3 linked regions of the Oreochromis niloticus genome follow. The protein of the gene in region 3 purifies or fractionates together with the protein of the main gene of each other region. This does not show direct contact. Links are inferred from orthologs where the notes say so. Each region holds a gene or a part of one and is shown on either strand. Other genes may lie near its edges.

Evidence for each region.
Region 1: the proteins of nod2 (region 3) and ripk2 purify together in Homo sapiens (affinity purification with western blotting; 12 studies listed by BioGRID and IntAct, with this or other methods). This does not show direct contact. The link is inferred for Oreochromis niloticus from reciprocal best matches to the Homo sapiens genes NOD2 and RIPK2.
Region 2: the proteins of nod2 (region 3) and xiap purify together in Homo sapiens (affinity purification with western blotting; 3 studies listed by BioGRID and IntAct, with this or other methods). This does not show direct contact. The link is inferred for Oreochromis niloticus from reciprocal best matches to the Homo sapiens genes NOD2 and XIAP.

What each region holds. Positions count from the first base shown.
Region 1 is NC_031982.2:10,258,409-10,268,506, forward strand, and holds the start of ripk2 (receptor-interacting serine/threonine-protein kinase 2), read right to left. Parts: upstream 4,558-10,098; 5' UTR 4,226-4,557; coding exon 4,032-4,225; intron 3,890-4,031; coding exon of another isoform or gene 3,828-3,889; exon of another isoform or gene 3,222-3,827; intron 3,213-3,221; coding exon 3,059-3,212; intron 2,505-3,058; coding exon 2,349-2,504; intron 1,553-2,348; coding exon 1,401-1,552; intron 854-1,400; coding exon 804-853; intron 724-803; coding exon 562-723; intron 457-561; coding exon 371-456; intron 1-370. Other genes in the region: sorting nexin-16, read left to right, coding at 3,828-3,889, 5,854-6,193, 7,514-7,600, 8,247-8,395, 8,502-8,571, 8,668-8,804, 8,895-8,976.
Region 2 is NC_031966.2:30,954,395-30,964,885, forward strand, and holds the start of xiap (E3 ubiquitin-protein ligase XIAP), read left to right. Parts: upstream 1-6,092; 5' UTR 6,093-6,249; intron 6,250-8,321; 5' UTR 8,322-8,370; coding exon 8,371-8,610; intron 8,611-8,719; coding exon 8,720-9,269; intron 9,270-9,384; coding exon 9,385-9,484; intron 9,485-9,641; coding exon 9,642-9,720; intron 9,721-10,186; coding exon 10,187-10,226; intron 10,227-10,343; coding exon 10,344-10,491. Other genes in the region: psmd10 (26S proteasome non-ATPase regulatory subunit 10), read left to right, coding at 3,538-3,704, 3,935-4,088.
Region 3 is NC_031965.2:31,483,085-31,493,438, reverse strand, and holds the start of nod2 (nucleotide-binding oligomerization domain-containing protein 2), read left to right. Parts: upstream 1-5,738; 5' UTR 5,739-5,997; intron 5,998-6,294; 5' UTR 6,295-6,368; coding exon 6,369-6,854; intron 6,855-7,340; coding exon 7,341-7,467; intron 7,468-7,724; coding exon 7,725-9,495; intron 9,496-9,646; coding exon 9,647-9,730; intron 9,731-9,813; coding exon 9,814-9,897; intron 9,898-9,981; coding exon 9,982-10,065; intron 10,066-10,139; coding exon 10,140-10,223; intron 10,224-10,334; exon of another isoform or gene 10,335-10,354. UniProt on the Homo sapiens protein: Pattern recognition receptor (PRR) that detects bacterial peptidoglycan fragments and other danger signals and plays an important role in gastrointestinal immunity.

The sequences.
Region 1 (10,098 bases), on a different chromosome or scaffold from region 3:
CACACGCTGAATGAAGTCACTGTTACACTAATGGAAACAAATGCAGTTGTCACTGTAGCTATAGCTGCATCAAAGCCTGTGCATTTATTTTTCATATGCATGGCTGTGAGACATCATCATGAAACTAAAGTCATACTCTGAGCCACAGTCTGTCTCAAACTAGTTTCACCAGATTTCTCTTACTGTAAGCTGACACACCTGAGCGCATGCTGACAGACAGACATGCGATACCATCCCATAATACACTCTTTGTGCATCAGAGGAAATGCAAATTTAATTTTGAAATAAATCAAAAGTAGTTTTCAAAAGAAAAAAAAAGTGCTACAAAGATTTCCCTACAGGTACATAAAGAAGAAATATAAAAACTGACCTTTTTCTTTTTGATCTGCAGCACAGCCTCCAGGAACTCTATTTCGTCAAACACCCTCACCATAGGCTCCAGCTCTATCAAACAATCTGAAATGGTAGGAAACGCATCACACTGCTAAATCCTGCCAAAGATGTAACACAGAACTACAGTCACATTAGCAGTGCGCACTTCAGTCATTAGTATGAGCATACTTTGGAAGGAAGGCCGCTCATCTGGATTAGCGTTCCAGCCGGCTGTCATAAGATTGATGAGCGTTTCTCTGCTGGGGATGTCTGCGGACAGGCTCTCCAGGCTGGTGTCAGGACGCAGCCCGCGCAGCACACTGAACATGATCTGAATGCCATTGGTCACCTCTGAACATAAACACACACATATTAGTGACTCAAAAAGGGTAAAGAAGGAACAAAGTATGACATGAAAAACGAGCAGTTACCTTTAAACGGGATCTGCCTAGACAGCACCTCCCACATGATGATGGCATAGCTACAATCCAAATATCAAAGAGGAAAACAGTTAAAGGAAGAGTTACTAAGTTGCCAGATATTGGCATTTCCCCTCATAGCTGAGGGACTTTAAAACAAGCCAGCTTCAGGGATGACTCTCAAAGCCATGACTGATTAACCCGTTGCAGCAAGTGTAACCTCTTGCGCAAAATTTACAAAGACTGCATCAGAGAAAAGTAGAGTTCTCTTATTAAAGGTGAAAAATAATCAGAATTGCTTTTCTGACAGACTCGTGGATCTCGACAGTTATGTCTGACTTTTTGTCTGGCATGACTGATTTAGCCTCCGACCCTGGGCCCTGCAGTGGTATGCAAACAATGCAATCTGAGGCAGGAACTCCGTTTCACCTTTACAGGAAGGAAAGCCTCATTTCCCTTAAATGCTTATTGTGCTCAACAAACACGGAAGTTATCAGAGTTTATAGTAACACAGTTAAGTCATCGAGATTTTTCTGCTACATTTTCAGGGAAGAATGTACATTTTCAGACTCACTTCTACATAATAGTTACTGGGTTCTGGTGCCTTACCTGTACATATCGTGCTTCACGTCGGCCCGACGGCTCTTGGATGGTTCGTACTCCTCAGGGGGCATGTAGATCACTGTACCCTCAGCAGGCTTGGACCCTGAGCCTCTACTCACTGACAGCTGTCGCCACTTCGATAGGCCAAAGTCTGCAATCTGGAGAGAAGCAGAAAGTTAGCAAGACGTGAACCGCAGACAGACCAAGTTATACAAAGCCACAGTTCTACATTTTGTGAGTCTTAAATTAATTCGTGACAAAAAGCCAAATAAGGTTGATAACTGCAGCAGGAGGACAGCCTTTTCTATAATATCAGATCTTTAAGGGGAAGTTACTATGCCTTTCTTAATTCCTGTTACAATGGTGGATACTCACACTGCCCTAAATAGTCAGTTTCAGAGAGGTTTTTCCCCCCCCTTCTACTGTTATCTCTATCCCCTCTCACTGATACTGTATTATCTTTATGTGCTCATATTAGGCACACAGCGTTGAGTGTCAGCAGACTAGCACCACCCACCTGTTGTTTAAACCTTCTGTTTGTGAGGGGCAGCCAATCAGAAGAAAGTTTAAAGGAGAGGAGTTTGTTTTACGGTCAAAAAACTTAAATATGGAGTTGATATGAGTATAATATGTCCACTTTAATTAGGCCATGAAAGAAAAAGAAATCAGTTTGAACAACCTGGTAACAATTGGTAACAACCTTTATATATACTTTTTATGCTAATAAAAAAAATGGTACATTTCATAAAGAGTAGTAGATCAGCAGTACATAGTGGATAAGCAGCACATACCCTATGTCTCAGTTACTCTGGTAACATACACAATACATGTGACTATAACTGTGACCACCTAAGCAGCTGTAACCTTTGTTACAGCTCCAACAAACACACTGACATGGGTAAGGTGATGTAATAGATTTTCCTGTTCTGCGCGCACCTCATACTTGACGCATACCTTAACATGAAATTCACCATCCAGCAGAATGTTTTGGGTCTTTAGGTCGTGATGTACGAGGGGTGGGTTCATGTTGTGAAGGAAGTTAACCCCAAGGGCGATCTCATACAGAATCCTCAAACGCAAAGGCCAGGCAAGAACGGGGTACAGGTCCTTCTGTAAGGCAGAGATTACAAAGATGGGCTAAAGACATAATAAATGTATAAATAAAAGTGGGAAATGTGGGTTTTACTACAGTGAAAGTACAAAACAATGCAAGAGCTTGAAATAAAGACTGAAAAAATTACTACACTCAGGCCAGTGGGAATTTCCCTTGTGCATAGCTGTCTGCTTCCCTCAATGCTCGGCTTGTCTTTCCCTACTTTCTTTTAGGTTTCATCAGATACTAATTACTTCGAGCTTTCGCTTTTGTTTACAGTCTCACTGACAGGAAACAGAGTCATACACTCACATGATGAGTGATGCACAAGAGAGAAAAACAACAGACCAATGCAACTCCCTCAGCTGACCTCTTTTGGCAACAAAAATCCAAATGCAACAACTATAAAACCTTTATTTTGTTCAGTGTGTAGTCTGGGCGACTCTCACAGGTAACTATTTAAACCAGGGAAAACTGGTGCCACTCAGTGGCAATCTAAATGGTTTGTTTAAGGATGTATTGCTCAGACTAGAAGAGTTCCTAGAGATAGGAAGTGAACTTGATGAGTTACCTCGTGGAGTAACCGGTCCAGAGATCCATTGCTCATGAACTCCGTGACTATGCAAAAGATACGAGGCTCATTGCAGACCCCAAAGATCTGGATGATGTAGTTGAACCTGGCTTTGTGGAGTACCTCGGCCTCCTTCAGCAGGCAGTTCCTCTCTCTGAAACACAGCCAGACACAGAATAAATAACAAAAACAAAATAACACTGACAGCACTTTTGTGATAGTGAGGTAAAGGAATATTTCAGATAAAATCCTTTTAGACACGCAGACCAAAAATGCAGAATACAATCCTGCTGAAACTCTTGATTACACAGAGGAGTAAAGATGTTACACGCAGGAATCTGAGAAATTCTCACTTGTGAATTTGGGCAGAAATGTTTTAGATGTGTGGATCTGAGTAGAATGACCCATTACTAGGTGACCAATAAACACCAAACTGAGTCATGATGTCTGGACATTTGTCTGAAATCCAGTTGGGCTGGTTCACTGTTGTTGGGATACACTGAGTTTTGTGAAACAAGCTTAAGAATTTCACATTAAAAGGTGGACTTAATTTTATAACAGAGTGGTATATTTGCATGCCTCCAGAAATAAAGAATGAGTGTAGGATTTAAAAAAAAGAAAAATATCCCTCAGTTCAGATTTGTGCCAGTCTGAGCAAACTAGCCCTCCAGCTGTAAGTCACTGGACACGTAAGCCACAGACTCTTTAGCCTTTTTCCTGCCAGAGGAATGAAAAACCTGCTCGAGCACTCTGAACACATTTCATTGAAATGTACAGGAAGGCCTCACATTTGACTCAAATTAGGTCAAGTGCTGCAGCTGTTACTGTGGAGTAAGTACAGGCTGACTTTATTGCATCATCCTGAAACAGCACAAAGTTTTTCTGTACTAGTGCAATTCATCTATAAATGGCTCAAATGTGTCTCCGTGACCTAGACCTTGTTACGTGAAGTTGTCTGCTCGGTGCTGAGTACCTTTCTATAACTGGAGAGTCGAGCTTCAGGCACTTGACGGCCACAGTGGTCCTCCAGTCGGAGTGCTTCCCCTTGAACACGGTGCCGAAGCCCCCTCCGCTCAGGTAGTACAGGTCCGTCAGTTTATTCTGGGGGATCACCGGCAAGGTGCTGGTCAGGCTGCCGATATCCAAACAGCCCGCAGTTGGCTCCATAGCAGTTTCTGAATCCCTTACGCGAAGTCTCTGAGGATTTATCTCCCACGGGTTTGGCCAATAAAGGCAGAACTACCTCTTTTGGTATAAACGTAAAGAGGAACTGCGCTCCCATTCACATGCATGCCACAACGTAGCCGACTGCTAGCATGCTAAGCTAACATTAATGTTGCAGAGGAGAGCAGAAAAACAGAGCAGCCGATAAACAGCGAATCCGCTGACCGGCAACAGCTGTCCTTCACCCAGCGACTACAGTTAAATGCGCGCAGGACCCAAAGCGAAACAACAACAAGAAGAGCGCAGCTGAGCTCCGCGCTCATTTAAGCAGGTGCGTTTGTTGTTGCTAATGACGACACGCTTCCGGTTTTTACGAGATGCGTTCACGAGTGTAGGTTTGGAGAACTTCAGACAGTTGACCCCGTTTTCCAAGCAGCCCTCTGAGCGCATTCAGAATCCCAGTACAAATATGGATAACAGCGAGGTAAGTCTAGGAAAAACACTGAGGAGGCACGCTGTTAAAATACCATAAATCATAAATGAGCCTTTAACTCAACTTTAGTTTCAGTTTCGCTGAAACAAAGATCCGCCTCCTGCGGCATGAACCCAATTGGTAATATTGGGATTTTTAGCAGCGGGAATCCCCCCCCAAAAACAGGGGTTTTCCTACAGATGTGTCGACGCTAAAGACATGTCAAAATCCGATGTTCGTGTCACGTGATCATAAGTAGCACTTTCTCTTTTCAGTAGCAGTATAGATTTTAGTTTTCCAGTGTTATTTTAGACATCCTGATAGCAGATTTTTAGATGTATCGATAAACTTTATTATTTTTATTGATTTTTAAGGTGTTTATTCTTTGATCGCTCCAAATTTGAGTTCATGTGATAATTGGGCCTTTTGGTAAGTCACAGTTAGTGTTAATTTATTGAAATTATAGGTATTTTTTGTATTAAATTTGACGTCTAAGGAGCTTGGAAAGAAAAGCGTCTGGACTTCTTTGAGTTGCTTGAAGACGTTTCACCTCTCATCCGAGAAGCTTCTTCAGTTCTAAGGGTCAATTGGTGGGGAGTCCCAGATTTAAACCCAGTGGGAGTTTCCCCCCCAAAGAGGGACAAAGGACCCCCTGATGATCCTCTACCTAATCACATGAGCCAAGGTGTGAAAGCGGGTGGGGGTCCTAATCAGCCAGGGTTTCGGGTGAGCTCATTGTGAAACCTGGCCCCACCTTTTACAAGTGCGTTGTTGTGATTTACTGAAACAGGATGCGCCCTTTTTGTGCTGTTGGATGAGACACACCATAAAGCACATGACTCTGTGTCCCTCTGTAATCTGAAACCAAGAACAGGCTTTCAACAAATCAGGTACTATGATACTGCTTACGTGGATGTCATACAAACTGCCTTGTGTTTTTGATGAGCCAGCAAGAGTATGGAGTGCGACAATCCCTGCACAGATCAGGTGGGAAACAAAGCTTGATTCTAGAAAACCCTGTGCTGTAGTTCCTTCACCCGCTCTGACTCACTGGAAGTGTTTGCACTGATCCGCTGTAAGTACACTACCATGCTCTCTGTGCATGTCCATGTGGTTCCCCCTGTGTTTATTCTAATTCACCATGTGTCCTTGTTCGCAGTACGTCACTAAGACCACCACAGATGGCTATTCCATTTACTCCAGTACCTTTTCCAGTGGACTGGGTCAGCGTGAGCAGGTCTTGTTTCAAAAGAGCTTCTCCCATACGTATCGACTCTTCATCTGCAAACTGTGAGCACTCACCTCCTGAAAGCAGAGGAGATGGTCCCACTGTAGATCCTACTGTAGATGAGACTTGTGGGAGACCAAGAGGAGGCCTGACAGATGGGCCATCCAGACAGCACAGAAGTGAAATGAGCTATGGGGAGAGCTGGATGGAGAGACCCATCACTCCGACACTGCTCGGCCACGAGATCATGGAGGAGAGGGCAAAGTTCACGGTAGGGATTTAAAGGGAGGGCTCTTCTTTTCCTGCAAAAGAAAGAAAAAGAAAAACCAAAGAAAAAAAAGGATCTCATATTTAGGGGTTTCCAAAATTGTGCAATCATTTTCAATGTATTTTTAAGTTAGCACATTTTTACATATATATCTTATATGTGAGTGTGTTAGCTGCATAATAAAACAAGTAAAAGTCACATGTTCAAGTCAAGAGAGCCAGGAACAAACTGTGTTAACAAGGGCAGGACCTTAAAAGCCTGCAATAAAAGCTTGTTGGATTTTTACTTTTATAAATAACATCACTGTTGGCTAAATGTCACACAATATTTGTTTTTTGGAAAGGATTTAGCTGAGTGGGCAAAAAATGGGTGAATTCCAAAAGTTGTAATTGCTGATGCTGATGGTGTCAGTTGAACACGCTGCCTTATTCAAAGCAGGCCACGCCACATGTTTGGAACATTTTCTTTTTATCGGATATGGGATTTGCATCTTCTTTCAGGATCAGTCAGTTTATGCAGATGTGCAAACCGTTACACTGTGGAACCAGAGGAACTCATATCATTTTAAAACTTGTCTAGCAAAAGAGAAAGAAAAGGCTGGAACAAAAAATAAAACAATCCTCTGATTGTTTTAGCATGAATGGCCTTATTTGGCCATTCTAACAGACATGGCCAAATAAGGCCATGTCTAAATTGGTTCATTCGAGATTTGTCAGCTACCAGAGTTTTGTGTTGGCGCTCTGCCTTTGGGAATTCCACGCTGGACTGACGTGGTTTTGTCTTAGCACCATGGATGAAAGTCGTCATCAGAGACTGAAGAAATAAAACAACTAGTAAGAGAGAGCATCTGTTGGCTTTCTAAATAAAGAACTTGTCATCAATGATTCAGGATTAATTTTATAATATGCATGCAGCTGCCTGAGCAGCTTTGCTTTCTGAAAGCATGCTTTTAATGACATCTCATTCAGTTTTATGCTGACGTACACTCAGACAGCAAGACGAATCCACTCACTCTAAGAAGATCTGAAAAACACTGACAGGAATAATATTGCAGTTTACAGTTTGTTGTGAGAAGAGGGGTGAAATATGCCAGCCAGACTTTCTTAATGTGTTATAAACGCTTTATTACAGATCATCTTATTGACATTACAGCTGTTTTTAAAGGATGCATTTACAGTTCCTTATACATGTTGTACTATCCTACTGCTCTTGCTCTTATGCGCGCCTGAAATGCACACGCATACAGTGTCAACTTGCTAAGGCACTCAGTGCAAACCAATACATGTGTCTGTTATTTGTCATATAGTCGTCTGTGTTCTGTAGGTTTATAAAATCCTGGTGACGGGGAGTCAGGGAGACAGCTGGGTGATCTTCAGAAGATACACAGACTTCTGCAGGCTCAGTGACAAGGTGAGAAGATATCGTGCACCTCAGCAGCTACATATTAGTGAAGCAGCCTATACACACATGGTGGTGAAATGACGTGCCGTGAGGAGCCCGGAGAGGCTTGAGGGGGTAGATTATATACGGCAAATGCTTCAGCACTTGAGTATCAGTGACTATTACTTTGCTCGTTCAATCTTAACCAACAACTTTTTTCCACATGCAGTTAAAGGATAGTTTGAGGGCTACAACAATCTGCTGCCTGATTTGTTCGGTACGCTCTGTTTGTTGGGCACACATGTTGCACCCCTGAATCGGGGAGAATATAACTTGAGTTAAGAACAACACAGCGACTGTTCAGCTCGCAGCCAGTCTATTAAATGACAGGGATAGAACCAGCACTCCCCCTACAGGTGTATGCTGTAGGTGGAGTGATACTGTGAAGCTATCAAACTCACCCCCATAAAATAAATTAGTCAGACTAATGAAAAACCTATAAAGTGACATTTTACCTCATGCATTTGTCCGATACACATGCAGACCTCGCTGCAACTGTTCTTCCATTTGTGGCACCGTGATTCAGCGACGCTTTCGGCTCTCATTGATGTAATATTGTTGCCATAGTGATTCTGCTTTCCCGTTTTTGCCCTTTTTGCTCGTCGCCTTGACGCAGCTTCAAGAGCTTTTCCCCAGCTTTCATCCAGCCCTGCCTCCTAAGCGCTGGCTCAAAAACAACTATGACGAGGAGTTTCTAGAAGGGAGGAAGGCTGGACTGCAGACCTTTTTGGAGAACCTAGTATTACACAAAGAAGTCTTTAGAAGGTGTGTGTGTGTGCATGTGTTGTGACTTTTTTTTCAGTACTACTCTAGTGGGTGACCTGAACTGTGTTTAACTTTGACCTGTACATAAAACCCTTTGGTTCCTCAGTGAAGCTGCAAGATGCTTTCTGTGTTTGGTTGAAGCACCGAGTCCGTTTGACAGCCTGGAGGAAAGCAGGGTGAGGACACGTTGCTCTCAAAGATATTGTCTCAGGGGCTGAATGTGAAGAAAGTTGTGTAGCTCAAACACCCTCTGTCTACTGTGTGGCGTGCAGGCCTTTTGCGAGAGTCTCGAGGAAACTCACCTTCGTCTTCAGAGTGAACTCGCGGACAAGCAGGGAGAAGCCGACAGGCTGAAGAAGACTTTGGAGGAGAGAGAGAACCGTCTCAACCTGCTGCTAAAAGAAGCCAAGTAATTATGTTTCTGTTGCACAGCTGGAAACACAGTGAAGCAGGAGCTGTACGCTGTGCTGAAACTGTTCATTTCCCCCGTCTCACGCAGATCCATGTCACTTTCTGCTGAGAGCTTTGAAGCTTCAACAATCACCACCCCCACAGACAGTGACACAGAGGACATGCAGTGACTGACACGGACAAAGAAACAAACTGTAAATAACATATTGAACCAACAAATCTAATCTCAGTCACCTAACACTGTTTTTTTAATGTACCAATGTTAATGATGAATAATGTTTTCTGTATTTTCTTCTCTAGGTGACAGTGACATGTGCAAGTGGTCATCAGACATCCTGCTGGTTCCTCTTAAACCCAAGTCCACAAGAAAGTCTATAATGTGACCACCGCAGTGCCAAAACAATCTTTGGATGCAGTTTAATCTAACCCTCCATGCATATGTTTATTTGATTCTTTTCAAGATGTCACTAAGAGAACTACCTCAAAATACCAAGCACATAGAAGTCCCATAATGTGTATATACCACATATTATGCTGCCTAATGAGGGAAAAAATCCAATAGATTCTAATACTATTTATTTTTTTTTATTTCTAAGTAACGTATTCAATTCATTTCAATGACAATGTTTCACTGATCTTGAATTTTAGTGTACACAAGCTCTTTTTGAAGCATAGGAAATATGAGAAAGCAAAATGACCACAAGGGGGCACTGTAATACAATAACAGTTTGAGAAAGTAAACGTCTGAATGAGAAGGAGACTGGGAACTTGATGTTCTGTTCTTATCTCGCACGGGGACATCTCTGTAAGATTTAAGTGCAGAGAAGCACAAAAGCAGGGGAGAGATGTTTTCCTCTTGAGTGGTGAATAACAGCTCGCAATCAATGAAAGAAGCCTGTGTGAATGTGTGTGTGTGTGACATCCATCCACGTAAAGCCTCATTCATGCGCCCCCATTATCACACTGAATGGCCATGTTGTTTCCTTTCACTCATTCTGTTTGAGTCGCTGAATAAATCCCAGTTACGTGTGGCTTCTCCGAGGTCGTGAAGGCTACTTTTATGCTGCCGCTGTGAGCAGGTTGGTGCATAATTATTAGATTTGTACAATGAAAACATTCGACTGAATGTGAGTGGGTTGTATAAAAAACAACCAGGAAGCAAATTAATAATAATAATAATGATAAAACATTCACTCTGAAAAACAGGTTGTCCATAGTCGGATATAAAAAGACACTTAAAGCTTGCTTGGCTGCAGAAAAACATTCATACTCTTTAAGTGATCCAGTGAGTC
Region 2 (10,491 bases), on a different chromosome or scaffold from region 3:
TTCCACATAAGCACTATACACTAACCTATGAATCATTCAAACAAACAAAAAAAGGCACCTAACTCAAGAGATGAGCCAGTGTTGGCTGCACATAACAGACAAATTAGCAAAGAACCAATTTTAAATTGTATCTTTAGACACTTTGTTACTAGCAGCTTGTCATGAAAACACAATTCGTTCCCATTTCTTTAGTTAAATCTACAATAATGCCAGAGATAAAAAAGATTGACAGGCATAAAATGTCTTGTACGCCGAAAACATGGCAAACCTCACCACGGTGTGCAGTATGTCCTTTAAAAGAAAGTGAGGAAAGTGGACAAGTGGAAGACAAAAGAAGTGGCAGGCAATCTACAACAAATGCAACAACATATTTAAGTCATGTTCTCAAAAAATAGGAAAAATCAAGGAAAGACCTGACATACAACCTGAGAAGATGCATCTCGCACTTCTGTTGACCCATCTTCTGTTCACTGAAGCCTCAGAAATGGTCTCAGCTGAAGGGTGGCTGTCAAGAAGCCATTCTTAAGGAAGGAAAATAGGGACAAAAGGCTGAAGTATGACAAATTACACAAGAACTGGACTGAAATCGGTGGCAACACATCTGATGGAGTTATGAATTCAAATGTGAAATTATTGGTTCGAATTGTTGTCAGTGGTGTAGCTCAGGGGAGAGGTACCGCTGTGAGTGTCTTCTAGTGATGGGCAAAGCGCAGCTGTGTGAAGTAGTTATACATATGAAGCATTTGTGCCAGGACTGTACTGAGGTTACAAAACAATTTCCACAGTGACACCCACTGGCCACTTTTACTATTGTCATGTCTTGATGATGTCTACTCTGTGAACACAGAACAAACGTGTTTTCCACAGTTCTAAGCAAAGCTATATGTTATACCAGGCTAACAATAATTATGACCAGTGCATGATTTGGAGAAATCCTCATACACCAAAGCCAGAAAAACTTTGAGACTGATAAAGCGTGTCTCACGCATGTACACACGTGTTAATATATTAAAGACTCGGCATTTAGTTATTTATTTTTATTTTTATTTTTTATACAAATTACCTCCTCAGCCTTGGAAAAACTACAACCAAACAATACACTTCTTGTGGGTATATATTGGTTTTAAGTTTTTTTTGTTTTGTTTTGTTTTGTTCTTTTTACTTTTTTCCAAGATGTAAAAGTTTGAATAAACAGCACATCATTCCTCCAAATACATTAGTGCATCATGTGCCCTTAGAACAAATGCATCAGTGAAGTATGTATCTTTTGACTTCTACAGTGCCATCAGTAATTATACTGTGAATACTGTGGGTGACACTAAACCTGGCTGTGGTTGCTGTTGCCACTCCTGGTGTTGCTGATGACTCTTAAGCTTTTTTACCCACAACCTTAAAAGCCTGATAGGGTATTTTCAGATTTCTACTATAGGCATAAAGGGGTAGAACTGGTGCCTGCTGGTATTTTCATAGTTTGCAATGTCATCAGTTTTTGTTCTACACTTAGACACAGTGGGTAAGCCACTCAAAGCTGAAGTGAAACACACCAAGACTTCAGTCAGCTGTGGTCATGTGATCTGAGCTAACGTGTCCTAAGCATTTTGAAAAAAGATAATTATGAAAAGTAGGACTTTTCAGGGCCCAGTTTACCTGACATTAGTACAATAACACTGGCTCTCAATATAGTAATAATCATTAGGAATAATCACATATTAATTCAAATTAATCGTTTATCTGTTGCTGTTCTTTTTTTTTTTTTTTTTTTTTCAAATTTGCTCCCCGCCCCTCTCCTGTAATATGCTACAGGTGGGGTGCTGAATGGTGGGTTACACCGGTGGGTTTCTTGTTCTCTACACAAGCTCTACTAGTGCGTCACACTAACTGAGTATTGACACAAATATATAAAGTACAACAGAACACAGGAAAGGGGGATAAATGAAAAACAAATGTATGCACTCGAATAGAGTAAGCATGGCAGGAGGCCGGCTTGAGACAGGGGCATCCATGGGGGAGGCAGGTGTTGGACCCTACAGCATGCCTTTATTCTGTGGCTTGCCTTTGCTGGAATGTCTAAAAGCCCTCCTCTTCTTATTAGGATCATTTTCATTACATTTTTTTCTTTCTCTCCCATATAGAATGACTAATGTATTACCTTTGTTTGCTGCTTTTACTTTCCTCACACCAAGATAAACAGCAATGCCATCACCTACACTCACAACTGTCTTGTTGTTTCTTGTTATCTTTTTTTTTTTCTTATTTCCCTTATCTTTCTCCCATGGTTTGTACTGGCTTTGCATTCCTGTGGATTCGGAATCTCATTACCCCTATGTTACCACCCCTTTATTATCGCTGCACCCTATACACACAGGGCTTGGCTTATGAGTAACCACTCTCTGTCACCTATTAGTCAAGCCCTGTACACGCAACAGGCTATTAAATTCTTGAAACATGTTCTCATCCAGGGTACCAGGATTCGATTGTGCCTTTTTGTCTTTTCTTAGATGAGCATAAAGTTTTCTCTTTAGAATGAAACTTGTAGATATGAGCTTTACTACGTTTAAGGAAACCCCGTAGGAATAAGTAAAATATAAATATGGGTTGTTTATACTTCTCAAATGTAAAAAAAACAAAACAAAACAGCTTATATTTAAGAATAAACTTGTTGTGCTGAATATTTGTCTCCCCCTTGCGGCATATAGAGGTATTACAAAGATACCGTCAACACGCGCTTGTAATGTGTTCCCACTGTGTTCACTGTTTGCTGTACAGTTTTCATTTGGACTGTAACCTTTCCTCTGGACATGCAATGAAGTTTTATTTATGTACTTGTTTTTATCTGGAGTATTAGAAGGTTTTCCTGAATATTTCTTATTTGTTCTGAACCATCATCACCAATACATCAATACATCCCCTCTTGCTCTCCGAGAAGGATCTCTTGGATATAAAAAAGGCTGATTTGTCAGCTTTATTTAAAAAAAATACAACAAATCATTACCTGCAGCTTTATTTTTATGATAACAAGAATGTTTTTTCAGTATAACTGATAATAATATAACAATATAAGAACAGAGCAATCTCAAATATTGTGACATTGTTGTAGCATGTATGCTGCCTATACCTATATCATTGCTAAGTTTACAAAGATTTAATAAAGACCTATGTATATATGGGAGACTTGAGGTGGTGGGAAATGGGGTCCAAGCAACACACTGCAACAATCAAGATGCATTTTTTTGTTAGATCAGATGTGCATATAAAAGATCGTGAAACTGAATTTTTTCATCGTCTTCTCTCACAAGGACTTGCACATGACATGAATGGATTTCATTTGACATTTACGGGGTTTTATTTCAACCACAGTTTTTTTTCCAGTCAGGATTGTCCTAACTTTCAGTCTCACTTCCTAACGTGAAACTTCCACATGACTGTGGTAACCAAAATGACGAGATCCGAAAACGGGTATTTCACAGAAACTAGAAATAACTGGATGTAAAAGTGTGGTGTTCAGCTTATGAATGAAACATCGTTACCTCTTTGCAGATTGCCCTGCTGCTGTTGGAAAATGGAGCAGACCCCAATGCTACTGACAAGCTGGACTCTACGCCTCTTCACAGAGCATCTGCCAAGGGCAACTACCGGCTCATCCAGCTGCTTCTCAAACAGAGTGCATCAACAAATATTCAGGACTCACAGGGCAACACACCTCTGTATGCTTACATATATGTCAAATGCAACTTTTTTTAATATCATGCAATATGAATACAAAGATAAACTCTAATTATACCTAAATAGAAAATGTTTTCTTACTTACCCTAGCAGTACTAGAAGTTATCATCCACATTACTTTAGCTATACAGTGTGACTAGCATTAGGGAGGGGGAAAAGGCATTTCTGTATTTACAGCTATGCATTGATTTTTATTTTTTTCTTCTCCCAGCCATCTTGCATGCGATGAAGAGCGTGTTGAAGCAGCCAAGTTGCTGGTGGAACATGGAGCGAGCATTTACATTGAGAACAAGGAGGAGAAGACCCCGCTCCAGATAGCAAAGGGCAGTCTTGGGAACATACTCCGTCGGATCGTGGAGGGATGATGCTTTGTCTGACCGACACGTCTTGTTCCAGCTTAAATCCCCACCACCAACCGCCAAGTTACATTCTAAGATTTCCCATCCCGCTCAGTCCTCCTTAAGCGGTGCGGTGTGGAAGATGAGATGATGGACTCAGATGGTGCTTTGAGACTGCACAGATCTTATTTGTTGGATCAGAAACCCAGTCTGAGCACAGGTTTTCAAACCCTACAGGCTATTTTCTATTAAATTTGAATTGTCAATGTAAAACATGAAGTTCAGTCTGTTAATAAATGTGTTGTTCGTGAATGACATACTGCTGTCTTTAGTAATTTAATTTTTTGGACTTCTCAGGTTTCAGATTAACTGAATAACAAATAAAGTTGTGCAGCTTCATTGTTTTTAAGATAAATCTTAAATAATGCGTATCTTTGAATATAGCATGTCAACCTGAAAACTAACCCAGCCACAACAGATATTTAAATCCTGTAGTAGTCATATGCCATATATGTTATGTTATTTATAGTACTGCCAACACAAGGAACAGTGAGTGGAAAACAGAAGTGACCAGGTTTTCCCTATTGACGTAGTGCTGCAAAGCCTTTGTTTCTTGTTCCCTGTTCCACATGTTGAGATTACGGCCCACATTTTTATTGGCGCTAGTTTTCAGCCTTCTTTTCTATAGTCTGCCTTTTACTCAATGGCTGTGACGGAAGCAGCAAAGGGTGTCTACACAGGTAATTAATTGTCCACACTGAAGTGGAAAATTGTCCCCACAAACCCACAAGCTATGCAGGTTTTTGTGGAACTACCACAAAGGGAAATAAATCTAGAATAAACATGAAACTAGTGGGAAGGGAACTCTTACTTGTAAGTCTCACATGAAACTTGGCTCAAAAGAAATGGATAAGTTGATGGAAGCCAAATAATTGTTGGAGAAAACTGAAACAACAGTAAATAATAGTTTTAAAGGACAAAAAGAAGAATACATGAAAGTGAAAAGACTGTCACGTAACAAAAATATCAAGTTTTAGCACATGCTAAAAGATTCTCAGTGTTAGGAATAGGTCCAATGTTGTTCCACGTTGAGTTTGTGGGGATCTGGCCAGCCTATAAATTGAGGATGCTTCAAATTGCCTAAAAATAAATGAATAGTTTTAGGTATTTTTAGGATGGCCATGGAGAGCAACAATACTCAGTAGGCTGTGCCATTTAAATTATTTTCCTTTGGTATTAAGAGGCCAAAAGTGTGCCATTTCAGCATCATCAGCAGCTGCTTGGACCACTGATAAAAGCCAGGCTGGATCCACTATCTTATCTTGTTTAATCCAAATGTACAAACATGTTCTCAGCTGACAAGGAGTGCCATCAGGTGTAGTCTACTGCTGAGTCTCATCTACCTCAAAGTTCATTGTGTGTTCAATACATTACAAAGAACAACATACCGAGGTGTGGCGTTCATACCAGAGTATGCGCTTCTTCATACCTTGCGTGTACCTTCTTAGCAGCTTGAAACAATCTGTGTAGAGAACTGGCATTCATTGAATAGTTTTTCTTCTTTTTTGTTTATTTATTTATTAAATACCAGTATTGCAGGAAAATCCTAGTAGATTAGCAGTTTATGATCAGATTTGCCCATCTTGCACCAGCAGCCGTGTTTAAATCACCCTTCTTCCCCATTCTGATGCTCAGTTTGAGGTCGTTTTTACCATTTCTGCCATTTTCCTAAGTGCATTGACTTGCTGCCCTGTGACTGGCGGATTAGATAGGAGATACATTTAAATTAAACAGCGTAGCTGACAGCTGAAATGCAACCAAATCAGAAAACGGACTACAAATGTAGCTTGTTGGCTTATAAACATAGCTCTCCTAAGCCATTTTGAGCGAAAAAAACCCCCCATTCTGATCAGAACGTAGAAGCTGCATTTTTAAATGCAAGATGACTCTTATATAAGTAATCCAGGTTAAAAAAAATAATTAACATCAAAAATTTCTTTTTCCAAGATATCTGGGCAAACACAGATATTGCTGGAAAACCACCAGGCCACAACCCTTTCCTGACGTCACCTGATTAGGTGGTTTTCACTTCCTGACAGGGAGGTCACAAAAGACTTCACCGGAGTCTCCTTTCCGAGGTGTTCACACTCTACACTGACTGGAGAAAACAGAGGAGCTGTGTTGAAAGGTAAACATTTAAAATGTTATTATATTCGATATGTCACTGTGTGACCTAGCTAGCGTTGCGTAAAAAGGCTAAGCTAATGTAGCTACCAAGCACTCTGAAGCTAGCATTCGCGATTCCGCTTACGAGCCTAGCAGTACAGATCAAAAGCACAGGTCAGAGTCCAAGATTGTCGTCTTGGGTGTTTACATTTTACATATAAAAGCACCTTTAGGTAACTGTATTGACTAATTTCTAACTGAACGAAAACACGGTGTGGGTTTAGCGAGGTCTTTGCTGTCATCAGCGCTGTTGCTCTCGGCGTTTCCCAGAAACAGTACGGCGTCTGTGTCGCTTTCAACTGAAGCAAAGCTGTGAGGCCTTTGTGGAATTTGCTGGGGGGTCAAATCGTCGCCAATCTGATCATTAATACATACTAAAAGCAACACGTGGAACTGCTAATGGGGAAAACTCCCCTGTCGCTTACTTTCGGTTAGATGTCGTGCGCAGTCAAAAAGTGAGTATTTTAATGCGTGGGACGATGCAGTCTTGGCTCAAGTTAAAAAAAAATAAATAAATAAAGGGATGACGCTGGCGATTGATTTACTTGAAATAATGCAGACACGTAAAGACAGTTCAAAGATCGCATCCCATCAATACAGCAACGGATCAGCTGATAAACAGCTGTTTAAGCAACTGACCCAGCACGCAGTCACCGATTAAACGGTTGTTTAATCGGCGACTGTGTGCTGTCGTTGGATGATAAGTCCATTTTGCGTCAAGCTGTGACACTGAATGACGCTGAGGAATGTGAAGATTCTGAAATCATAGTTTCACGCAGAAAAGCATTGAGTTATGTTACAGCAATGCGAAGGCGTTAACAAGTCAAACCCTTAACATAAGAGGCAGTAAGGCGTGCTTCTCATGATGTGTTGCTACATGATTTACTTGTTGGTAATGCACAAGGTGAGCTCCTAAATTAAATTACCACACCTCTCTACTGCTTCAGCAGTAATACTGATGTGTTATTTTGTGGCTTGTGCTTTAAACTGCTGCATATCATCCTTAGGTTGCTCTCTTTCCTCATATTCTGCATTGCAAGGATGTCAAACTCATTTTTCTTCTAAGGCCACATACAAGCTAACTTTAGACCTCAAACCCAGTGAAACTGCCCTTACTCTCAGCCTTAAGAAGTTTAACTGCAAAATCTCATCCTTGAGGTATCAAAGAAGGGTGATTTCAACAGTACTTCTCAAATTTTCTTCAGGCCATAGAAACACTGCTGCAGTAGATTTAAAAAACAAAAAACAAAATCTGTCAGCACAGCTCTCCAGGGTTAAATTGTAAGGGATAAATGCATAAACTTTCAGAAGTTCTGGCAGCTCATTTCTCAGACTGTACTGTAATTGTAAAGGAGAAAGTTTCTGTTAATTCACAGAAAATGCTTGCCTCCTCTCTTTAAAAAACAAAACAAAACTCTGGAGACCTTTTGAAAAGAAAAAACAGACATTATTATTATTATTATTATTATTATTATTATTATTATTATTATTGTAGACAGAAAAAACAGGAACTATTCTGTCATTTAATTGTTTATCTATTACTTAATTACTTTGGTGTATTATGAATGGGGAGGTCTCTGTCAATAGGAAAAGCAGTAAAACTACAGTCAAAAGCCCAAAATATATTCCTTCTTTCACATTTTCCAAAGCTGTCCGGCGAGCTGAATTGGAGCCTTTGCCAGGCTGTTTCTGGCCCCTGGGCCTTTTGTTTGAGGTCTCTGCTGCATTGTATCTTCAAGCGGTATAACCTTTTACGTGGTTTAATATGCACTGTGTTTGTAGACAAACCTGCCTCTCCAGTGCCCATCCCTCACATGGAACATTCAGTTCCTGCATGTGATAACAGGCTGGCATTCTCTTAAAGGTACAGAGACCCTGCAGATGTGCAGATTGGCTCTCTGGCGCCAGACATGGAAATGCGGGAATTTAACCACTGAAGTGTCTGTTTACAAACAAACAAGCAAATGAGGACACTGTACCGTTTAAACAAAAACCAAAAACCAACAAACATATTCTGTTTCTTTCTATTTGCAGATCATCTGTCCATCAAGTTAACAAATCCCTACAGCTTCCTGTTTCAATCATGTGTGATGTAAGTGAAGATGGCGTTTGGGAGACGGACAATGCGCCTGATTTTTCCTCGTTGAAAAGACGCATAGACTCATTCCGTGGCTCCAACCTTGCTAACAAGGTGCCTGCGGAAACACTGGCACAGGCTGGTTTCTTCTACACCGGCGAGTCTGACCGTGTCCGCTGTTTCAGCTGTAATATGACTGTGGATAATTGGTACAGAGGAGACAGACCTGTAGACAAGCACATGCAGGTAATCAAACTTGTAACATGAAAAAGTCGAAGTGGTTAATATTTCACTTTTTTTTGTCTGTTTGGTTTTCTTCCACATTGATCCAATTCTACTTTTCTCATTCTCACAGTTTTCTCCATCATGCATGTTTCTTACCTGCGTCCACCGTACCAGTTTTAACCAGAATTCCAATACTGCAGTAATCAGTGAAGAAGTAGGAGACATGGAATATCGTTTGAGAACAGGAGAAGTGGTTGATGAGGCCACCTACCCTATATTTCCTCACATGAGAAATGAAGAAGCCCGACTTCGGACCTTCTCTTCTTGGCCCAACAGTGCTCCGGTGAGACCCAGAGATCTGGCCCAAGCCGGTTTCTTTTACGTGGGGCAGGGTGACAAGGTTCAGTGTTTCTGCTGTGGTGGTCGGCTGAATGGGTGGGAACCAGGAGATACTGCCTGGAGTGAGCACAGCAAGCATTATCCCAACTGCTACTTTATCCTTGGGCATGACGTCAGGAACATCCCAATCCAGACAGGTGTAGAGGAGGATGCCAGCAACAATCAGCGTGCAAATGACCCAGCCTCAATGCAGAGTTTTGAGGCAAGGCGTGCTAGTTTTGCTGGTGTCTGGCACCCTGTTGACCACGAGAGGCTTGCCAGAGCTGGCTTCTATAGCACAGGTAGTGTTCAGGTGTTTAAGACTAAAGAAACATTGTGCAACATTTTAAACTGTATGATTGAAATTTTCTAGTAGGTAGCTGTGAATGCAATCAAATGTAATTTGTATCCTTGCAGGAAGAGGAGACGCAGTCTTGTGTTTCCAGTGCGGTGGAGGCTTGAACAATTGGCAGCCTGAGGAAGACCCTTGGGTGGAGCATGCCAAACACTACCCAGGGTAAGAACGACTATGCTCCCTCTTCTTAATATGCTTTTACACACACACACACACACACACACACACACACACACACACACACACACACACACACTTTGTTCTTTGTTCTGTGGCATTTGTGTCTGTTTTAATCAAAGTACATGCTGTTTTAAAACAGGTGCAGCTTCCTTTTGGCAAACAAAGGGCCAGAATTTGTCAACAGCATCCACCTACAAAGACCACAACATGACAGAGCTGTAAGTATTTGCTTTTTCCACAAGTTGTGGATGCGTAAACTACAAATTAAGATTCACTTGGAGCATGGTCAATATCAACACTATTGGTCTGGTGTATGTGCCCAAATGAAAAGTTGAACAGTGCTGAAAATCTTACGGCTAGTTTAGAAAGGCTTTCATCATGGATTGCAAAGCAGGAAGGCTCACATTGTTCTTCACAGACAATCACTAACTTGTTTTGGAAATGTGCCATACTTTATGTGTATAAATGGGTGTATATGAATATTTGTATTTTAATTTTCTACACCTGAAAAATCATCAGTAGTCCCAGATTGGGCTCTAGTTAAAATAAGCTTAGTTAGTGTTCAATTTCAGCATGTGAAAGGTGCGTCATAATTCAAGGACTTAAAGGTGCGTCATAATTCAAGGACTTACAGTCTTCAGTGATCTCAATCACAGGATTTTGTTTTTCCCTGTTTGCTTCCAGGCTCCAAGTCATCAAAATCCAGTTTCAGAAGATATGGAAGGTACATTTTTCTTTGTCTTTTTTTTTTTTTTTTTTTTTTTTTAAATTCAGTGCCCCAGATACATCATGAAACAAAGTCTGAGCAGTGTTGACTTCTATTTATTTACTTTTTTGTCAGATGAGGACCCACTGGAGAAACTACAGAGGCTGCAGAGGGAAAAACAGTGCAAAATATGCATGGACAGAGATATTGCCATTGTATTCATCCCATGCGCTCACCTTGTTGCTTGCGAGAATTGTTCACAGGCCCTCAACAAGTGTCCGAT
Region 3 (10,354 bases):
CCGATATGGGCTTTGTGTCATATGACAATAGGAAATATAAGATTTTTTTCATTGTGAGATGCAATCCAGATGTCTAGTTTGCTAACAGTTTTTTTTAAACAACTAGCAACTTGTTATTGTCTGCAAGCAGTCATAGCAAAAATTATGCAAGGTGTCAGGCGATATCAGTATTGATTTCCATTAATACTAATTGGCAAGTTGTAATGAACTCTAGTTGTCCTTTTTTGGATGAGTAACTGCTGAGCTTATGAGGTGCTTCAAAAAGTCTGGCTGTTGGGTAAATTAAGATAAATTACAGTAAAGGATAGGAAAGTCTAACAACCAGATTCATTACATTTTCATCCACCTGAAAAGTTTTTTTTGTGCTGTGAAACCATAATGTTATAAATCAGTTATTATTATTATTATTGTTAATAGTAATAGTAGTAGCATTTTATTAATTGCTACAGTTACAATCAGGTCTTCTCTATCCTTGAATGAGAAAGATCTGACTTGCCATATGCTGTGCAAACTCGTGTGCTGATATGAGTTTAAAGTCCAGTTAATATAAATAGTCGATATAAATACGTGCAAGTGATGTAGAGGTACTGATGGATGGAAGGTCAGCTTCTGGTTTACACCATATATAGAAAGTCTGAGCATGTGGCACAGTGTCAGTTATACATACACTCTACTAACAGCAATTACAGTTAACAATTACCAAGAAAAGCAGCTTACAGAAGAAAATAAAGAGCTGCACTCTCTCAGCACTGCACATCATAGAGGTATTTAAGTGTGCTGTTGGCTAAGAGGATATTATTCAAAGTGACAGTTGCTTAGTGTAATTAAAGGTGAGGAGCTCAGCACAGTAGAGTATACTTCCTAATAGTGACACAGTGACTTTTCTAAACCTTGATTATTTTTTATGTTTAGTTTAATGTCATTACTGAGATAATAACCATGTGTGTGGTTATTCCATATTTAAGGCTATGAAGAGTCTGGTGATTGTCATGGAAAAAAAATCCACATTAGCTGGGACTATAATAGGATAAACAGCTGCTGTGAATGTGTACTGTGTTATATTTGAGTTGTTGGGAGACATGGGTTACAAGGAATGGTCTTTTTGGATAGAAATAAACCCCGTCTCTGTGATACCACTGGCAAGACGCAATGATATTGACTTAAATATGGGGAAATGAGAGGCTGCCATAATATGTCCTCTGTGCTTTGTTTCCAGCAGATAGGCAAAAAGCTTTGAAGTGTGGATTGGCACAGCAGGGTGCTAGCTTCTGTAAAGGGAAGATGCTAAACGCTAAAGGATGAGAAGGACATGAGGTAGTCTATTACCAATAAAGGAGCAAAGAGGGGGGAAAAGGCAAATCCAATGATAATGTACATCTGTTCCAGTGAATTTATGAGCTTTGAACATTTTTTCATGTGGGATAAGTGGATCCTTTTTCTTACAGAATCTCAGAACTTCAAAGCAGATTTGCTTTGGATAATGCAAATGATCGGAATATGCCGGTCCCAGCCTCCTCAAGAGCATGAAAAGAAAAAGGGGAAATAGAGAATTAAAGCTAATTGGCATGGCAGTCTTTTATGTGTCTAAAGAAGGGCAAAAATAAAACACTTCAATTATTGTCAAGTTCATTCAATTAGGAAACAAGCTGACAAAGTGTTAAAGTTCAGTGTGACTGACCCAGAACTCATTTTCATTAAATGCCACTTTTCATTTTGGACAATTCCTTTGTTATAGCTGATGAAATCATAATTAGAAGGATTTAATTCACCCTATAATTACTAAGATGGCAATGACTTTGTTTAGCTCTGGTGCTGTGGTGGCTCGTATATAGGACTGAAAGTTATTTTTCCACTAGTCCAATATTTTCCACTTCTTATATATCATACCTCCAGAACAATGTGAGCATTTTAAGCAAACACAATCTGTTTATTAAGTTACTATTATGTTATTTAGTATTGGGTATAAAAAAAAATAAAACATCAACAAACAAGGATCACAGTTTAATTATGTCTTGTATATTCTGATCCCTATGTTTTTTTAAAACTTGGTCAAATGAATGGTAAGTAAAGAACAATACATCCTTTATTTTTCCTTTGCAAGGTAAAAGAGATTGTGAGGCTATACAGTGAGTCCATTTTTGAAAAGCTAAAATAGATTGTTTTGCATCTACAGGAATCTATAGTATGCATGAGAGGTTTAATTTAGGAAGAGGATCCAGGATATGGATATGTAGCCTGATCTTTGCAGTTTCACTGCATGAACTGATGTAATAACGCAGAGAGCAAAGTTTGGCCATTTTACATACATTTATATCCAAACTCAGTCTTTATCAGCTTTAACTTATGAATTAAATAGCTCACCATAAGATATAAACCCCGCCACAACAACATAAAAGGCAGCAGCGTGTTCCTTTTCAGTACATTCTGCAAATTGCACTGTCCAACTTTTTCAAAGTCCAAATCTGCTGTCTGGACTTCCAGAGGCTGACTCCAGACTTCTCGAGATAGCAAATGAATAAAACAAGGCTCCAGAAAGTTGCATTGGTTTTTAGTAGATCATTGGAGCTCTTTCTTTTTGCAACATCAAAGGCAGACGCAGCTCTTTGATGTGGCAGCATGCTGTTTAAGGTACAGACTGAATGGAGAGGTGTCAAGCTGCAAGGTGCCTCTGTAGTTTACGTTGAGTGCTGCAGAGAGCTGCAGATGAAAGGCGCAAACAGAGTTTGATAATGAATGTCCAACAAGTAGGACCCATCTCAGACAGCGCACACTCAGCAGGGTGCTTGCGCTAACCTTGAGCGCAGCACCCTAAACCTCGGGCAGATGCCGGAGACCAGACTCCTTCAACTTGGCTGCTCCTGCAAAAAGGGAGCTCTCAGATGTGAGCTTTAATCTTCCTGTCAATTAAATCCTGATTGACACACACACCCATACACACATCATCATGGACACATGCTCCTTTTAACCAGTCAGCTCTGAAAGCGACGCCATCCACTTCCTCTGCTGAATACTTGTCTTTCTGGCTTGAAGAGGCTATTTCTAATTATACATAAATCCTTCCAATATAAAAGGCATTTTTTGTCTTATATCCATGCATGCTGCAGTAGTTGTCCTCCAACTTTAACTTTATAAACTGAATGAGGTAATTCACTCAGCCATTCTCTCAGTGGAAAGCAATATTACAGCATGTCAATATACCATACACTCAGCTTTTTAACCTGCAATACCACAGATAATATGGCTGCCTTGTTTTTTTAGTTTGCAACCTGTTAAAATAAAGGTTTTACTGCTTGTGTAAACAAGCATACTGGGAAGAATGCTTTTTTTTGCATCACTGGTTTGGAGTTCTCTGTATTTTTATTAAAACATCTCTAATATTCCATCTTATTTATGTTTCCTATTATGCTTAGGAGTTATGGGAACTGATCTCTGAAACAACTATTCAAATTTTAATTATAAAAGAGATATGACTGTTTTTCAAAGTCTTTTTGACAAAGTGCCACTATAATTTTACTAACCTGCTAAGGAAGCACTATCTGATACAAACACATAAACTGTTAGCTGATTGAATTTAAGTCAATACATGTAGTTTTTAACAATAATGCAAATCGGTGTGCTCATGTTTGTGGTGTCATTGTACCGAATTTCCCTGACAGTGATCAATTACAGCTTCTGATTATTTGACTGTTTGATTTTGTCATATCATGTTATGTTATTTTTTTTTTGCAATATAGTTCTTTCAAAGTTCACTACATATGTTCTAAAAACAAGCACACTTTGTGTAACTGTAAGACTACACTAAAATGAGACATGACGGCTTGCTTCTGGGAGTTCTGAATCTCTGGTAAAGCAATCAGTACACAAACAGCCCATCAGTGCACCTGGCTTAACACTGAGCTCACAACATGTGCTTTTGATATCTGCACAGAAAGAATGCACAGTGATAAAATGGCTGCAGCCAAAGTATTCCATCTCTGTTACGAGAGTGAGAAGGATCCAGCCCTGAGCTGCACTCTTACTCATAGACATACAGTTTAAAGCTGATTTACTGGATGAGGTTATTTAGTGCTGGGTGGATCAAGACTTAACATTCATGTCCAATAAAGTCCAAGATAGGGATTAGATCCTGTGGTTCAAGGGTAATTTGATGTAATTTGCGATTTCAGGCTTGTCATGAAAAATAAATAAATAAATAACATACACAAACACACACACACACACATACAGAGGAAGACAGCCAGAGTGATAGATGTAGCTATACTGAATGATAGCGACATCAGGAAGAAAGAACATGTGAAGCTGAAGAAGTACCAAGTGCTAAGAGAAGAACTCAAGAAGATGTGGAGGATGAAGGCAACAGTAGTCTTAGTGGCAATCCCAGCATTTGGTGGCATGACCACCAAGCTAGGTGAGTGGCTCCAGCAGATCCCAGGAACAACATCTCTGTCCAGAAGAGCGCAGTCCCAGGAACAGCTATGATACTGCGCAGGACCATCAAGCTCCCAGGCCTCTGGTAGAGGACCTGTGCTCGAAGGATAAAGACTGCCCAAGGAGATTTTTTTTTATATATATAGAGTTGTCTTTAAAGTGATTGAGCAACAAAACTGTTCCTAATAATATAAAAATAATAATAATAATGAAGAATATTATATAGCCCAAACAAATGAAGTGGAGTTACATATTTTTCCTGCAATAAAAAAAGTGTTTGGAACTGTCTCCAAACAGAGCACAGAAATACAGCTATGTCTTTTGGGACCGTGTGTGTATTTTATTTTTTTATTTTCGACATTTTTTTTACCCTTTTTCTTATGTGTTGAAACTTCTCTCGACCCCCTGCTGTGATTTGGATAACAGAACTCCACCTTAAAGCTTCAAGTAAGATGCCTGACAGAGAGCACTCTGCATTACACTCCCCTTGGTGGAGTTGCCTGTTTTCAGACAAGAAGAACAAGAAAAAGAAGAAGAGAAACTCCCGTTTGAAAGTTTTACTCCAGTTTGTCTTTGATTACTCCTGCCCTTGAGTGTTTGAGGATTTTCTCGAACAGGGCACAGCGAACACACACAATAAGCTAATCATGTTACTCAGGAGGGAGCTGTAATAATGAAAATGATAAATATATGACTGCCCGAAAAGCCACTCTCGCACCTATTTTATCTCAGCTTCAAAGAATGCAGAGGGAGTAAGGAGCATTATGTGCGGTTTTAGGGTTGGGTTTTTTTGAAGTTTAGATCAGATGCACAGCATGACGCCTAGACTGCAGGTTCTCAGTTTCTGTTCTAACATTGTAAAACTGATACCGTAGCAAAATGATTCCCTACAACCTCTTTATGAATCTGCTGGGGTTTTCTGCTTGATTTCTAATTAAACCGCAGTATCTTGTGCCCACAGACACAGTTAGAGCTCTGATTGAATTGATTCGAAGAAGACAGCTTTAGTGATACTAAAAGAAACTGTTAAAAGTGGAAAATCTCTGCCGACACCATGTTGTTTTCTTATGCAATAGTTCCATCAAGTGGTTACAACACCAAACTGCGACGAGGATGGAAATACCTAGGACCCGTAAAAGTTTCCGTCACTTTCTTTAAAAAAAGAAAGAAAAAAAACCCACCCAAAATTACCCTTTCTATTCAACCTTCTGCATTTTTAAAAGCTGCAGTTCCTCTTTGTGGTCTGAAGTATGCAGTATCTTGCAAACAAGACAAGAGGATGTGGAAGTCTCAGTGAAATATAAGCGCTTGAGTGTGGCAAGCTATATTTAACCACCCTTAAATATCAAGTCACCATTGTTTGCTCTGTTTGGAAAACACCAGGGAAGTTGAGCATTGCGTCTATGCCACATCTCCGCCTGTATTTAGTTTCCATATTATGGGAGGGACTTGGAAGCAGAGCAAGTTTCACTTTCAGCTGCAGAACAGGGAAGCGGTAGGACCCTATAATTCTACAGCGGCTCTGTTCGTATGACAGAGGGAGGAAAGAAAGCCATGTTCCCATTAAATGTAAGTGTTCTTTTTTGTGGTTTTATTTTGTGTTACTTGCGTCTGCAATTGAGGTCGCGTAGTCGACTATTCTGTACTTGTACATGTTTTAAAGGGACCTGCAACACATTTGATGTGTATGTAATGGTAGCCATATATTCTTTTCATTCTGTTTTAACTTTTTGTTATGGCTTAACAGAAAGACGCACAAAATGACATGTACTGCTGTATGGTATTCAAAACAGAGTTAGAAAAGAAAGAAGGAAGCTCTAGTTGGCCCATAGTAACATGATGACATTTGGCCATTTGCTGTGACAGGTTTTCACACCACAAGAAGCAGAAGTAACCACAAACTGAATGTCCCTGAGCATGGGCACTGATATGGACAAAGAATGCTTGCCGAGGAACTAGTGCTTAAACAAAGGACGAAGATACTGCATGCACTGTGCAGCAGTGGGTCAGCAGAACATCTGGAGAGAGTTCTGGATATACTGCTTGCCAAGGGGGCGCTCATATGGGAGGACTACCAGAACATACAGGTACCAGGAAGAACACTATATACCAATGCAAGACAGCTGCTTGATCTGGTCTATACAAAGGGTGTGGACACATGTGGGCTCTTTCTAGCTGCTCTCAAACTGGCCTTGCCTGAAGCACAGGCAGTGGGGCTCTCCTTCTCTGAATCCTGCTCAAATCTACAAGAAAACGATGAATGTCAGAGCACTTCTAATCAAACTCTTCTGGCTCAACGACCAAGCCTTGTCCACAAGCTTCAGGGCTGTGTTGATGGTGTTCTAGCAGCTCTGCTGGATTCAGGTCACTTTTCTTCAGCTGATTGTGATGAAGTGCGGTTACCTATATATACTCCCACCCAACAGGTACTGTAAGCACCTGAACGTCACATTGTTAAAATGTGGTTTGACAACTTTATACAGTTGTTCTTTACCTTTAAACTGTCTTGGAATGAAGCTTGTCATTATTTCTGCATTCCTGATACTTAGATGTCATACAGGCAGACGTGCTGGGGTATTTTTGTTACTTTTTGTGTTACTTTATCAGTCAATACTATTACTTTAAATAGATCTGATACTATTCTGATATTCCTGAGTAATTATACAAGTAATATAAAATAATACAAAGAAAACTGGTAAACATATCTTGCTGCCTTTGTATAGATCCAGGCAAGGTTTTTACCACTTGCTGCCTGTCTTTGTGCTAAGCTAAGCAAGGTAAAGCTCTTTCTGCTGTTGCATTATTAGATTATGAATATGTAAGTTGGTCTTTTATCTAACTCCGCAACAATCCAAATAACTGTCAAAAATAAACTTTTTATTATTTTCATCCATGTCCATGTGATCAATCAGGCAAGGCGTCTGCTTGACCATGTCAGATCCAGAGGTGATTTAGCAGCATCGGTTCTCCTGCAGTACATTCATCAAAAACAAGAACCTGGATTGCCACTTAACCAGAGGGAACTGACTCCTCCCAAAGGTCTGTTACTGTCAAAAGCAATGTTTAAAATCGCAGAAATATATATCGTTTTTATGAGTAAAGCTATCCTTGATCACCCTCATAGGAAAAATGCCCCAAATACAGAAGGTTTCTGGTTATGCTTTGAAAATACAAAATTGGCAGGCATGCCAAGATCAGTTATGCATGTTCCAGATTTGACCAAAGATATACAGGATGTATGAAATGATGACTGGTTCACTCATTCCATCTTTTCTTCACAAATTTTTCTTTCACAGAGTTTTTAAAGTACCAGAAGAAGCTGAGCAGTTCTGTGTCTGCTCAAGCCTGCTTTCTCAGTACTTATGCGGGAACTAGCCATATGTCTCTCGATGACATTTACACTGATGGCCAGCTGGAACTAGCCGAAGTTAATGCCCATGGACCTTTGGGATTGGAAGACATCGTTGGTTTGGTGGGTATAGTGAATGAGGAGGCAGACACAGTGCTAGTATCCGGGGAGGCAGGCAGTGGAAAAAGCACCCTTCTCCAGAGGCTGCACTTGCTTTGGGCTCGAGGGGTAGCCCTTCAAGACTTTCTCCTTCTATTTCCATTCAGCTGTCGCAGGTTGAATTCAGAGCACAATGAACTGTCAGTCCAGGAGTTGTTGTTTCAGCACTGCTGCTGGCCAGACCGGAACCAAGAAGAAATTTTCCAGTTCATCTTGGACCACCCACATCAAATCCTGTTCACTTTTGATGGCCTGGATGAGCTCAAGCAGAGCTTTACAGATGAGCACAGAGTTTGCTGCCCCACCCAGCGTGCACCTGTTCATGTATTATTGTTCAACTTAATCCAGGGTTCCCTCATGAAGGGGGTGCAGAAAGTGGTCACTAGCCGTTCAGAAGCAGTGAGCCCATTGTTAAAGAAGCACCTACGCAAAGAGGTTGTCCTGAAAGGGTTTTCCCCAACTGGGATTGACAGTTTTGTACGGAAACATCACAGGGACCCTACTGTAGCTGCTAAGGTTTTAGAGTCAATGCAGGCGAACACAGCTTTACTTGGACTATGTCACAGTCCAGTTCTCTGCTGGATAGTTTCACAGTGCCATAAGGAGCTGCTGGGCTGTGGAGAAGGCAGCCCCAAAACAATTACAGATGTTTACCTGATGATCTTACAGCACTTTCTCCAGCACCAAAGTCCTCTGAAGAGCACCATGGGTTTAGGCTGGCTACAGGAGCACCTAAAAACAGTCCTTCTTCTTGGACAGCTTGCTTTTGAGGGGATAACATCCACCTGTTATATTTTTTCAGGTACAGACCTAGAAGCATGCGGTGTAACTGAAAAGGATATCTGCATGGTTTTTCTGATAAAAAGCAAAGATATGTCCTCTACTCACTCCAAATGCTATGAATTCAGTCATGTGACATTGCAATGTTTCTTTGCTGCTCTCTTCATTGTTTTGTCAAGTAACACTAACCGTTCAGTTATCCCAAAACTCTTTGAGCTAGAGAACAGGGAGACAGGTCTGACACGTGTCTGCTTTACAGCCTGCTTGCCTTCCAGTGATCAACAACAGCAAGCTTCAGAGAAGGAAAGTAAAGCAGCAGAGACACCAAATCTGCAAATCACAGCCATGTTTGTGTCTGGACTATTGTCCCAGCGCCATCAAAATCTGTGGCTCCACTGCTGCCCCAGTGCTGCAGTGGAGAAAAAGGCCAGACAGGTGGCAAGATGCCTTTCCAAAGGCATTCAGAAACACTTTAGGTCCATTCCCCAACCTGTACAAGGGGAAAAGAAGAGCATGCATGCAATGCCGGACTTTGTGTGGCTTATAAAATGCCTCTATGAGATGCAGGAGAGTCGGATAGCTAAAGATGCTATGAGCAAGCTGGAGGTGGACCATTTGAAATTGACATACTGTAATATCGGACCTGTAGAGTGCACGGCGCTTGCTTATGTGCTCCAGCACTTAAGAAATCCTGTAGGCCTCCAGCTGGACAACAACTCTGTGGGTGATGTTGGAGTGGAACAGCTTCTTCCCTGCATGCACATTTGCAATTCCCTTTAGTAAGTGGAAATTATACATTTTTCTTTTGTTAAATTTCCTTGGTTAATAGATTGAACGCCAATTCATTAGAGTGAACAAACTCTCCCTAACTGCTTTCACTGTAAGAGAGGAACAACTTTTATTCTGAAATGCATATTGTTCCTTCCTTAGCCTCAGAAATAACAACATTACAGATGAGGGCATCCGCAAACTGATTGCTAAAGTCATCCAGTGTGACAGCTTTCAGAAAATTGCGTATGTATTATCAAGGTGATTAATACTGCAAGTTAAATAAAATTTTATCAGTTAATTTTCAAAATCTTTTTGTTTCTTTCCAGGCTCTTCAACAACAAATTAACTGATGCTTGCATGCAGGATTTTTCTTATTTATTGAAGACCAAGCAGGTCTTCATTTCTTTAAGGTCAGCGTTTGTCATCAAATGTGACTCTACTGTTGGATTTTACCAATGACCAAAAGATTAACAAATAACCTTCTTCTCTTCAAGGCTAGGCAACAATAACATAACAGCAGAAGGAGCAAAGCAGCTGGCAGAGGGACTGAAAGCCAATCAAACCTTGGCGTACTTAGGGTAAGTGTTTCCCATAAAATTTCATGTTTCATTGTTGATGAATTTTCATTTACAGTATTTCTTTGCATTTCCAGGTTATGGGGCAATAGGATAGGTGATGCAGGAACTGAGGCCCTTGCTAGTAGTCTTGAGAGAAGCAACTCTCTGGTGTGGCTAAGGTAAGATTTGCAATAATTCTGGAACATGTTTGCTTGACTTTCACATTATGAAAACCATGAAAGTGTTATTTACATGATATGTTAGGATGTTTTATCTGTTGTTTTTGAAAGCGCATGTCAGCACATTTTGC